Linked DNA regions of Caenorhabditis elegans. The protein of the gene in region 2 interacts with the protein of the main gene of each other region in a pairwise test. Each region holds a gene or a part of one and is shown on either strand. Other genes may lie near its edges.

The links.
Region 1: the proteins of F10G8.8 (region 2) and shn-1 interact in a two-hybrid assay, tested with the Caenorhabditis elegans proteins (one large-scale study listed by BioGRID).

The regions. Positions count from the first base shown.
Region 1 is NC_003280.10:11,384,707-11,392,619, forward strand, and holds the start of shn-1 (Protein shank), read right to left. Parts: upstream 6,159-7,913; 5' UTR 6,079-6,158; coding exon 6,019-6,078; intron 5,912-6,018; coding exon 5,642-5,911; intron 5,383-5,641; coding exon 5,281-5,382; intron 5,211-5,280; coding exon 4,622-5,210; intron 4,576-4,621; coding exon 4,234-4,575; intron 4,177-4,233; coding exon 3,904-4,176; intron 3,647-3,903; coding exon 3,557-3,646; intron 3,397-3,556; coding exon 3,074-3,396; intron 3,032-3,073; exon of another isoform or gene 3,011-3,031; intron 2,837-3,010; coding exon 1,995-2,836; intron 1,511-1,994; coding exon 1,363-1,510; intron 1,226-1,362; coding exon 1,072-1,225; intron 449-1,071; coding exon 219-448; 3' UTR 1-218. UniProt on the Caenorhabditis elegans protein: Scaffold protein that most likely acts in the postsynaptic density (PSD) of excitatory synapses which orchestrates synapse formation and maintenance at neuromuscular junctions.
Region 2 is NC_003279.8:10,058,949-10,064,047, forward strand, and holds the start of F10G8.8 (PH domain-containing protein), read right to left. Parts: upstream 3,079-5,099; 5' UTR 3,041-3,078; coding exon 2,933-3,040; intron 1-2,932.

The DNA.
Region 1 (7,913 bases), on a different chromosome or scaffold from region 2:
TAAAATATAAAAACTATATATTTTTTGTATTACCCTAGGACACCGAAAAATGGAAGAAAATTAATGAAAAATGATGATGAGCAGGATAAAGACACGATGGTCAATTAGAATTGGGTTTCACTATCAAAAACAAATGAAACAATATTATATACAAATATATAAAGCCAGCTACGCGGGAGAAAATCGAGAAAGTAGAAATGAGGGGGGAAAATCATAAATCACTGGAGGAGGCCACGGAGAGCTGATTCAATTATCTGGCGATGAGCAATTCGGGTGACACCGAGCTGTGTAAATCGAGACCGATCGCACTGGCGAAGGCATCGGCCATTGATTCGTTGACTTCGAAATGCTGGTGTATATTCAGAGAGGTGTAGTGATGAGAGCCAACCGATGACGTCATCCACCGACCAGACATCTACCTTCTTGTGTTCGAATGATATTTCACTACCTGCAAAGAGAGGAAATTTGGTAATTTGTTGAAACTTAAAGGAATGAGCCCCAAAATCTAACAGATAATGATTTGAATTAACAATTTTTTCTTTTACAAAATATCCAAAAAAGAAGTTTCCTTCAAACATATTTCAAACTAGAAATGTTAACAGATAAACTGAAGCAAACAATTCAAAAATGAAGAGTTACACTGAAACAGAACAAACGAAATTAAGTAAATTAAAAAACCAAATCAAATTGTTTTTTTAATATTTAGAAAACTAAATATTTTGACAAAAATACTATTATAGTATAAATATTTTTACAAGTTTACAAGTATTTTTACAAGAATACAAGCGTAAACAAATAAACTAGATAATTCTCAAAACTGCTCTAAACATTTATAATGATTTGAATTGAGAATTTGCTAAAAAAAATGTATCCCGAGAACACAACCAGAGCATTCCAAAAACCCCATGTTAACCAAAACTAGACCCCAGACAGATTTCATTCTCCCCTTTCCTCTTAGATTCATAAATTAATCTCCAAAATTTGTGAGAACATAAATTAAGTGAGTGTGCAAAAAGAGTAAAACTAATGGTGATGTCAAATGAAAAACAAGTTGGAAGAAGAATCTCTTACAGCGAATCTCTCCATCGCTATCGCCTGTTCCAGAATCCGGATCATCATCATAATCGACAGGTGGAATGACATGAGATGGTACCACGAAGCATCCAGGTTTCGTTAGATCAACTGTTGATGATGATGACGCAGTTGACGACGAGGCAACAGACATCTGAATTGCAGGTTTTAGGTTAGAAATTGGGCACAAACCACACATGAACAAATTAAACATTCTTTCACACCATCTTTTTTTTGGGGTTAAGAAAAATGTTATATTGAGAAATCAGTGCAGGGAAAAATGGGTCTTACATTGTCCTTCTGTCCGTAATTATCCTCGAGATGCTGAGAGATCAGTGTCACTCTTTGAACATTTGGAGAGTGATCAAGTGAGAAATGGGGTCGATGATCTTTTTCTTCCGATTCAGATGGTTCCAGTGACGTTCGAGAAGATGTGTACCTGAAAAGAGAGGATTTATTTAAGTTGTATGTAAGCTTCAAGATTGAAGATGTTGAGCTACGGAAGTTCGAGAAAGCAGTTAGCAGTTACCGTGTTTTCTCTATTAATATTGTACTTCGATTGTTCAACTTTACCAGCTTATATCTCAGTTTTCGGTTGTTCTACACAAAAATTGTCAACTGACTAAATATTTTCTGATACTTTTTCTATAGTTTCATAGTTGAACATTTAATGATATCTTCTAAATGAACTGAGATATAACTGTTCAAAGTGAAATAGTGGGAATATGGTTAAAGGTACTATGAAAGTAGGCAAGAGACACGAATAGACGCCAAAAGTCTCAGAATGTTTTGAACTACATTCTGACAGACTTTTTTAAATGTTCCAAAAATTAGCAGTTAGAAATAGCCAATTAGCAAAAATCGGACACAACCAATAATTATGCAACCAACGAGCATTTTTCAAATGAAATAAACTCACTTACCCACTGTCCTTCTTATTAACTATTCCAATGTTCTGAATTCCTTTTCCACGTTCTACAACATTTTCCCGAACAGTTTCTCGAAGTGATAATCCTTCGAATCGACTTTCTCTCTCCTCATCCTCATCGACATCGTGAGCTACTTTACTCCGCCTCTTTGCCAACGCATTCTTCAAATCCATTTGAAAATCTGTCGTGGAGTTGTTGTTATTATTGTTATTATTACTGACAGAAGCCGCCGATGTTTCTCGTGGTTCTGCTTTTTTTAATTGAACTGATTTCAAGGCATCTGCTGATATTCCTTTTGAATTGCTCATCAAAACCGGAGCACTCGCAGCCACATGCATCAAACCTCCCGGAGGAGGTGGTGGAGGTGGTGGCGGAGCTCCAGATGAGATTGGAGGCAATGGAGGAGGTGGAGGAGGTACTGAAGATGTTGATGGAGGTGTGAACTCAACATGTACCATCGTTGGCTCGCAGTGTGGCGGAGGAGGTGGTGGAGGCGGTGGTGGAATCGATGACTGCTGCTGCTGAATTGGTTGAGGTGTTGAAGCTGATCTTGGAAGAGATGGATGTTGTTGTTGATATTGGTGGTTCTGATGATTCTGATGTTGCATCGGTGGAGGAGGTGGTGGAGTTTTCGGCCTTGACGTTGGTCGGAACGGCCTAGAATATTCACTCCGCTGCATTGAAGAATCTCTCTGCAAATCCGGAGAGATATACGACGCCGGTGGTGGAGCTGGCATCTCATCTTCATCGTCAAATGAATCAAATGAGTCCATTCGAGATAGTTGAGGTGTGCTTCGACTGCTACAGTTGTACTCGAATGTGCTAGTTGTGGGAGCCTGAAAAATTCTACTTTCTCAGTGTGCTCGCTGTTGGGAATTTTGCTCTGAATTGCTCCAAATGACATGATATTTAACAAACAAAAAAGAAAACATTTAAGAAAATCGGGTTAATTTTTTAAATTTTTTTCTGTTTCAAAATGTTTTTTAACTTTGGCATTTTGGCATCTTTAATCTAGTTTCTCCGTAATTTAGAGCAAATAAATATTCCGATTCCCACATTTTTCTAAAACTCACCGCTTGCTCGAAAGTCGACCTATTCAATCCGGCAGATGAAGCCACCACATTCCGTTGACCTTTCCTCCTCTTCATGTCAGAAACCGAATTATACTTCTTTGACGAATAACCCCCATTCAACGACTCCTGATCATATTGCATTTGATATGGTGAACCTTGCACCGACGGTACCCGCTGTCGAACCATCAAATTCTCCAATTCCGCTGCGGATATCCTCCTCCCGCTACCCGGCCTTTGCCTGACTGACGCGTGACGTGATTCCGAGTAGGCGTTCCTGATTTCATTTGGGGCATAGTAATCAACTCCATGCGCATCATGCGTGTCTGAAAATAAAATGACTATGCTACACGAGACCGAGAACAAATCTATAGAACAGATAACACATAATTAGAAAGCTGATCTCTATGTAAATTCTAGATTAACGTGAACAGTGAATTAGAAAGTTAGAAAAATAAAGTAAAAATAAAACAAAAAAATTCGAACCAAATCTCATCCGATAAACACTGGACGCTTTTGTAGACGAGTAGATTGCTGACGGCGTGGGTGTAAAAACCAAAGAGTGACGAGATGATGCTGGAAGTGAATGTGAGTGAATGGTGACGGTGCACGGATTAGAAAACAATTTGTACTTGAACAAAGACTACACAAAACTAAAAGCGTGCGAATATGAACGACGATACGTTGAAATTATCATTGAGATTTGGGATGATAAGTTCAAGCTTACACTTCAAGCCGAGTTTGTGCAATATCAAGATCATCAAGATACTTAACTCCCAATATGAACTTCTTTCAACCCAAATCTCAACAACACTCTATTCAACTTTCTTTACCTGTTGGCGGTCGATGCACAATAGTTCCTCCCCTACTCATATCAGCTACATCGACTGTTATCACTTTCAGTGTAATCGTGTCACCGGCTTGCTGAATGAATTCGACGACTTCATCGTGTGAACACCTTCGCACATCGATTCCATCAATTTCCAGCAAGTAATCTCCTGGCCTTAATCCCGCGCGAACCGCCATTCCGGACATGTCGACACCTTCAAAAAATTGAAGAGCCGGCACTTGAGCAGTTGGCTCGAAGTTCAATGGCATGGCGACATCTGAAACAAGAACTATGAGAAAATTATTGAGCAGTTACATAAGAAAAAGGAATTTACGTTTAGCTCCTCTCAAAATGAAACCGAATCCCTTGACACCACGTGGAATCACCAGAATCCGAGCGATATTTGTCTCGTGTCCAGCTGCAATCATTCCACCACCACGCATCGAATCCATTCCAGACCGTCGCATCGTACCGTACTCTGATGGGGTGATGGTAGTACGGGAGGATCGAGACGGGCTTGGCGATGGAGCTGCAGACATTGGACCTTTTCGTACACTTTGGGGAGTACGGTAGACATCCTGGCTGCATATTGAGGATTGGGACATCGAACGTCGGCGAGTGATGGTTGAGCTGAGGCGTCGGCGAGTTGAGTATTGAGGAGTGCCGCGATATGGTACTGGAATTTAGATTTTTCAGAGAAGTTAAAAAAATGACTCTCTTACCTGAAGATTTAGGATTATGTGCTTGAACGACATCAGCCACACCAGGATTTCCGACAATATGCGAAACATGTAACGCAGTTTGTCCTTGCTTGTTCACAGCTAGATGATCAGCTCCCCGAAACAGCAGTACTCTTGCACATTCTGGCCTATTGTTCACTGCACAGACATGAAGAGGACTATTCCCATTTACATTTTCAGCATCGATCTGACCACCGAAATAGAGTAAGTGTTCCACATGTTTCGTTAACCCATTCTTGCATGCTTGATGAATCTCGTGGTTTCCGTGCATATCGGTCACACCGATGTCGGCGGCTTCTCGTAGAAGAATCTCAGCGACTTGATCATTCGAATCTGCTGTCAACATATTATAGTAGAGCGGTGTAAGTCCAATTGGATCACGATAGTTTGGGCTTGCTCCAAGTTCGATCAAGGTTTTTACATTCTCGAAGGAAGATAGAAATGCGGCTTTGTGCATTGCAGTTTGGCCTTCTGAATTGCGAAAATCCACGTGTGCTCCGCCACCAATAAGGGATACAATTACAGCTCGATTGTTCGGGATTCCAGCAGCCAGCGTTAATGGGGTTTCTCCCTGAAATTTTGTGAAAATTAAAATAATTTCAAGATGCCCGGCAATCCTAGAAACATCCACAAAAACTCACCTGAGCATCATGAAAATTTGCATCAAGTCCCTGCGAACACATCTTTTCCACTTTCTCGTTATTCTTCTGCTGAACGTAGTCCATAAACTTTTTGAGTTGGCCCTGCAAAACGAGAACGATAAGTATCTGAATTGAGAGGTGCGCGCGAACACAAATATTATTAGTTTGTGAAGAAAGGGGGAAAGATATGCATCTGATGGAATATGACGCATAAAACACCTTGTAATTATACAAGGTTTTTGTCAGTTTTCGATCAACATGTTGGATCGGAAGGAATTGAATAATAAGATGGGATTAGAACTAGAACATTTAGAACCTGGGAGGTTTTGGCATTGAAAGTTGAAAGAGAAGTAATCCCTACCTTCGTGTGCATTGCCTTCAGCTGCTTCTCGTCAAGATTGAGCATCTTATAGACTCGTTTCTTATACTTCAACTCGAGATACGGAACACAATCAGTGAACGGATAGTCACGAATGGTCCGATCCTCGAGAAGAAACTTTCCGGCTCGTCCATCGCATGGAGGAAGGAAGAGCCCGTAGTTGAAAGCTTGCGGAAGAGCTTGCGGAAGGGTGGCCAATAACTTGCGTTTCACATCCCAGATGAAATCGTTTTGGGTCACCGCAAGGAACTTCTGAAATTGAGAAATTGTAGAAGGATTATGGAACACCTAGATAAAACATTTTGAAATTCTATGGTAAGTTCTGCAAATAGTCACAATTTTATTTTGCAATTGCTCACCCGAACGTTAAGCTCCGGAACGAAGATCTGCAAATTAACGGTGTCCTCCTCTTGATTCATCGTGAATGCTTCCGCTCGGACGCCTTTGCTTCCGATGATGACACTAGCGCATCAATATGTCTCCGGACTTGTACAACACTGTTAGAATGAAGTTACCACTATTAGCTAATCGAACAGAAAGAAATGCAGAGGAAATAGAGAAATTAGAAAAAAGAAGAGAAGAAAGGCGATAACTTTGATGTATTTACTATTGATGTCAATTGGTGGGACATGGATCACAAAGGGGGACAGGCAACATTTTGCGCATGTAGGAGGTGCTGATCATGGGTAATAAAATTGAACATAAGGTCGGGTTGGTCGGGACAAAAAAAACGATGGAAACTCTGGGTAGAGATAGGTAGGTAAATGGTTTTTTGACAGATAGGTTTTTTTGTAAAATTTCTAGTTCTTGGTTGCCTTGGTTTAAAAGTTCGAGCTAGGGCGATGACGGGCGATTGTGGGCGAAAAGCCAGCAACAGGCTGCCTTCACACATGCCTATGTGCCTGCCTATTTGCCTATATTCCTATACGCCTACGTGTCTGTTTGAAAAACGAAGAAATCGTAGAAGTCACAAAAAGTGTTGCCAAATACAATAGCGTCGAGTTTTAAAATCTGCACTTTATTGAAATTAAAAAGTCTAATAATCAAACCTATAAAGTTTTAGAACATTTTCAAACTCGAATCTATCAATGTTTCCGCATCTAAAATTCAAGATCCACAAGTACTATGCAAACTTGAAAAGATGATGGAATTCTCAAAAGACTTATAGGTTTTGCCATTCGAAAAGAACACTCGTAATGGAATTGAGGAAGCGAACAGAGGAGAGAGAGCGCGACTCTTTTCTCCGTACTGTCGGAATAATGTGAGAGATAGCATTGAAGATGTGGAGACGCAAACTGTCTATAAGAGAGGCGGAAACTGGCTTCACTTCTTGGAAGGATGAGGAGAAGAAGCTTGTGAGGAGAAGAGGAAAACTGACAGAGAGAGAGAGAGAGAGAGAGAGAGAGAGAGAGAGAGAGAGACAAAAAGTAAGAAAACGAACAGTGAATGCACGAAGTAGTAGTATTGAATGAAGACGTAGCTGTGACAAAGAGGTAATTAAGTATGTACTCAAATAGTTTGTATGTTAAAGGAAAAAAATGTAACATTGTCCTCAAAGTGTCTGAAAGTTCAATGTGAATGTTGAAGCGGTGTTTGAAACACATAGGAGAAGGGTACATATTAAAAATATGAAATTGCACCACATTACTTAACTTTAAAAAATTATATCTTGGTGTATTTTAATGATATCAATAAATTATCGAATACAAACGATAGAAAAAAAATTGCAAATATTTCGTTAGTTAACAATTTTTGATTAAAACAAACGGCAACTGAGATATAAGATGCTAAAGTTGAACAAAAAAGTGGAATGAGAAAATATGGTACTCAACTTTGACAGCTTGTAACTCGGTCGTCTCTTAAAATTAAAAAAAAACTTTTTAGTTACGTAAACATGAATTTAACAATTTGTTCGTTAACAAGTCGCGAATTAAATGGAGAAACTAGAACAATTTTCTCTGAATTTCATCTCCAAATGGTTTTAAAGCACCTCGAAAAATGCGATAAAACTACACAAATCTCGTTTCCAATTTCAAGTGATAAACGAGATGATAAGACATATGGAGATTAAGGTAGTCAAAGTAGATGATCCGTACAGCTTATTGCAGGTAGGCTTAAAGGTAGTGAACAAGAATTATCTAGGGAGAGAAAGAGAGACGTCTGGATGAAAGGAAGGTGACTATTGTAAGCTGACTCTTACAATTGAGTCAGAGACATGTTTCCGCCGGAGTTTACGACCTTGGACACAAAGTTC
Region 2 (5,099 bases):
AAAACAAATGCATATTGAAAGCATAAAGCAACAAAATGTGATTTTTAAAAGAATTGAAGAATTGAAAACATTTGTTTCGTCTTCAAAAAAGCTCTTCCTTTACAAAAACTATGTATAATGATATTATTGAAAATACTTTCTTCTATCCATCTGAAAAAATCCGTGCGCCTTTAAGTAAAAGTTTTTTTTCAAAATCCAAGTTTTGAAAATCCAAATGTCATGGGTGCAAGTTAGACCTAGAAACAACAAAAAACAATTCTAGAAGCAGAAAAGGAACTAATTGGAGGATGGATTCTACTCTCTTTCTCCCAGTCATTACCTACATCCATCTAGATGAACGATAGAGCATGAGAAAATAAGAGAAAATGAGAAAAAGAGTGAGTGGTAAGATGTTGAAAACAAGGATGAATGGAAGGTAGAAAGCAGGTCATTGAATGAATGTAGAAAGTGAACACGAACACGATATATCGAGACGAATGAAGATACTTTAATGTGTGAGTGGGTGTTCAAAACTTGGATACAAGCCAAGTCGGGTATAAACAGATAAAATGATGCGCAATCAAATGATAAGAAGAAGGAGATGATGGTCAGAGAAGAAGCATGATTGGAAGTGGTGGGCATAATAATAATAATAAGTGGAAGATGATAGAAGATTGGATTAAAATTTATAAATTGGAGGATGGCCAATGGTGCATTAGGCAATCTGTCTAGAATTTCGTGTTTATGTTTTTCAGGAAAAAACGAAATTGCTCAAGTTTATAAGATTGCGATTTTTATGGTACTTTTAGATAAATGTTTATAGAAAATAGAAAATTAACAGGGAACTATCAATTCTGTGGTAGGCATACATATCTTTCAATTACGTAGAAGTTTATTTCCAGAAATTCTAAAATTAACTTACGAACTTATTTATTAAATGCGTCATTTTGAATCCAAAACTTATACACTCAATTTTTTATTCCCTAAAAAATCAGAGCCTCAGGTTCAGTTAAAAAACATTGATGATGTTATAATATTTGAAAAAAATCAAAACTCAGTGCTCACTTAGACCAGCTAAAAATAGTGACTTTTACTAAATGACACAAAAAATATCTCGGAATATTTTTTGGCATTCACAAAATGTCAAGTGGAATTCATCTTTTTGTCCCATAATTGTTTGAAGCAAAAATCGTGTGTGTCGGTATTAGAAATAAAACTTGAGCCAATTAATAGGGTCACTGTAGAGAAAAACTACCAAAAAAATAAGAAAAATGCAAGGATGGATGAAATGGAAGAGGAATAGTGAAGGATAGTGTCACTGCTGAATAAATAAACAAGAGGAAGGAAAAAGAAGGGAAGAATCAATGCTTTCTGGTTGAATGTCTCTGGACGACCCAAAAGTGCGCACTTTTATGAAATGGAATACTATTGAAATAGTAAGAGAGTTTAGAGATAGAAAGGATAATTGCTCAGAAGAGAGACGAACGTCTTCCAATGAAAAAACAAAATGTATTGGGATTGGATAAGAAAAAGAAATGGGCCGAAGTGTGATTGCAGAAAAATAACTGATGCGAAACGAAATGAGACACAAAAAAGAATGAAAGTGGAACCGATTGGTGAAACTAAGACTATATGTTCAGGTATCTATTACCAGCTTAGAGGTATTGGCTGAAAATTTTATTCCAAAACAATCAAAGCTTCAAAGGTGGAGAAGCGGCAATGGGGAAGATGATTCAAATCACCTCTGTGGTGCTAAAAAAGCCCAAAATTAGTTTATTTACAGCTTCCGCCTATCAGCATTTCGAAAGTCAACCGGAAAAGGTTTTTTTGCAAATATTTTAATTTTGTTTCCATTGTTCGGATTAAAATATTATTCAAGTTCAAACGTGCGAACCTTAAAGTTTTTTTTTTCAATTTTTGGAAATTTCTAAAACTTTCAATTTGCTAAAAATTTAAAAAAAAATTTTAAAAAGCTAAAAAATTTTGGAGTGTTCAATTATAATTTATTCTAATATTTTGTTGGAACTTTTGAAGTGTCAAACTGAAAATTGTGTACCCTTAGAAATGGAAAATGCAATCAAAAAAGTTGAGAACTGATCAAATAAATAATTAAACTCAAAAGTTTAGAATTAAATAAATAATGCTCTTTTTCAAATCAGATACTTCAAAAAACCTTAAAATGAAGAGAAAAGCATTCCAAAAAATAATCAACTATGCATTTTTATATCATTTCCGATTGCAAAATGGACTTGTTATCAATAAAAAAGTAAATGATAAATAGTATTAGAAATTGAGAGACACAGAAAGAAGAACATGTCTTTTTCAGTATACTCTTTTTCAAATACTACTGATTTCATTTCATATCAATAAACTATACCTTATGTAAACACCAAAATATTGAATTTTGTAAAAAAACTGTAGTGCTTTTTTCAATCTTCGTCTTTCTACAACATTAAAATGCAAATGGAGACGGGAAAACAGAAAAAAAAGCTTTTCTTACAATTAATTATTAGTTTTAAGATTCGCAGAAATTCGGGGCACAGCGTTTGGGAAGATGCCAATTATTTTTGGTAGTTTAGTAGAATACCGTACTCTGTTTGATATTCTAATATTTTAAAGTGAAATTTAGAATCAAAATATTATTTTTAAAAAACTAACGAATTTATATTAATTTAATTTTGAAGTTAAAAAAGTGTTGGCATTTTCATGGAAGTTTCGAACTACCAAAAATTGGAAATTTTTGAATTAGAATTAAAAGTATTTTCGAATAAATCTTTTAAAAAATAGTTGCTATTTTCGAACAAAATTTACTGAAAAATATTGGAAATTCATGTTTAAAAACTCATTTAAACACCTGATTGAAGCTGAATTTTAGGCCAAATCATACTGATTTATAAAGTCATAAACGTTATTTTTTCAAATAAAAATCAACTAAAAATCAAACAAAAATTACCTTTGCATTTTCAATTGATTCTGATGAATGATTCTGTTTGGATTTATAGCAAATCTTGCATTTTCCATTATTGAAAATATTTGCTTCAAACCGCTTACAGTCGTTCATTTTATATATTTATTCTAGTTTCCTGTCATGGATGTGGTCTGAAATTTACATTTTTGTTATTGACTTTGTTTGAGTGTTAAAACGGAAAGGAAGAAAATAAAGAAACATGTGGGAAAATATTGAAAAGTTGAGAAAACAAACTTGAATTTTCAATAGAAATATTTTAAAAGAGTCATTGGTCAGCTAAGACTTTTTGAAATAGAGTAGTTCACATTATGAGATATGCTTTTCCTCAGTTTATAGATTTCTTCTCCCTTTCTGACCGCAATTTAGTGTTCAATTGGTGTCCCGTGTCCCCGTGTCCAGTCGAGCCGTTTCACTCTCACTGACGAAAGATTTACGAGCCACTTTTACTATTTTATTGAGAAACTGGGAAAATATGGAACTTAAATGACCAGGTGAAAGAGTATTCAGAAAATATTAGTATCATTTTTTTCTTGAAATTTTTGGTAATGTACTTTGGGGAAGTAGGATGATGAGAGTGTGAAATTGTGTAAATTAAAACTTCTAAAATTTGTCTTTTTCATTGAAAAATTTTTTTTTGCAATTTCTACAATAAAAATCCTGATTTTGAAACAATATTCCGCGGAAAATAAATGTTTCGAAGTGAAACCGATTTAGGACCAATTAAAAAATTCTGCAAAATGTATCATCATTCCAAAAAGTTTAATTATATAAAAAAAAATCCAACAAAACTGTGTTGCTTTACAGTAATCATTTTGCCCAGCAATTTGAAATTAATTCAGTTACTAAAAAAAGTTTAGAATTTAAATGAAATTTCTGAAAGAAAACAACATTTTTAAATTGTTTCATAGTCATAGTCGATCATTTGAATTTAATTTATTATTTTTAACAACATGTTTTTGATAAAAATAACTTTTAAAAAGTTCCTCGCAGGTTACTGTAGTTGTAGCGAAAGCATTTTATATTTTTTGAAACTAAATGAATTTTTTGAGTTTTAAATTTTATTACTTCTCGTTTCAATGAATTGGATCTGATAAAAATTACCAAGACAGAAAAAAAACGGTTCTCGAAAAATGAGAAAAAGGGTAAGTGATTGGTTTGAGAGAAACAACTGATAACAAAACCAATTGTTTTCTTATCAGTTTTATCGATATTTCTTTTCATTAACAAAAAAGCTAATAATTGTTTCTTGGCCAACCGGAAAGAAGAAAAGGCTACAGAAACATGGAAATAATCAAAAAATTGAAAAACAGTAGGAAGAGAGAAAAAACGTATTTTTCGTTCGTTTCTTTATGAGGAACACAAGAAAGAAGAGGAGGAGGGTAGTAGTGGGGGGACCCCGAAACAATTAAAGATAGTAGTGATAAGAAGAGAGTGAGAGACACAGATATCAAACAGGCGTTCTTTCTTTCTCTCTCGGACCCCGGGACATGAACACGGAAAACGGAAAAGTGGGAATAGAGGGAAGTTGGTAGAAGAAGTGCAAGGACCAGTTGGTGATAAGAAAGTGTCATGTGATTGAACCATTTGGGTTTTGAAACTTTTTTTGACGAGGCTTCATAATAAATGTCAAATTTCCCAAACATTGTCAGAACTGAGAATCTAATTTTTTTTTAATGAAAATAGCATAATCAAACCCCAAACAATCAAGTAACTTGCCCTGGGAAGATGACTCTCAACCAAAACAGCTTCCACACAAGTACTCACATTCATTGGTGATAAAGAAACCTCGTGAGGCTGTTTTTATGTTTCGTAACATGAAAACTCCAATGTCTGAGAAATCAAAAACAATGCAAGAAAATGGAATAAAAATTGATGAGTCACGATCAGGAATCGGTAATTCAGAAAGAATGACTGATTTGGTAGAATAAAAGGAACAAAGATATCAAATTGGATGCGATTGACTTTTTTAGGGCGAACAAATGGGAGTTCATGATGTGGTGGTCAGGGATAATTAGGTTATTTAACTGATTGATTTGTTTTTTAGTTTTACATTTGGTTTTGCATTCCACTAGAATATAGATCAAGAATTCAGCTTCCTAAACTTCTTTACAAGGGAAGTCGAAAAACTGAACCCCGGACTTTGGCATGCCAT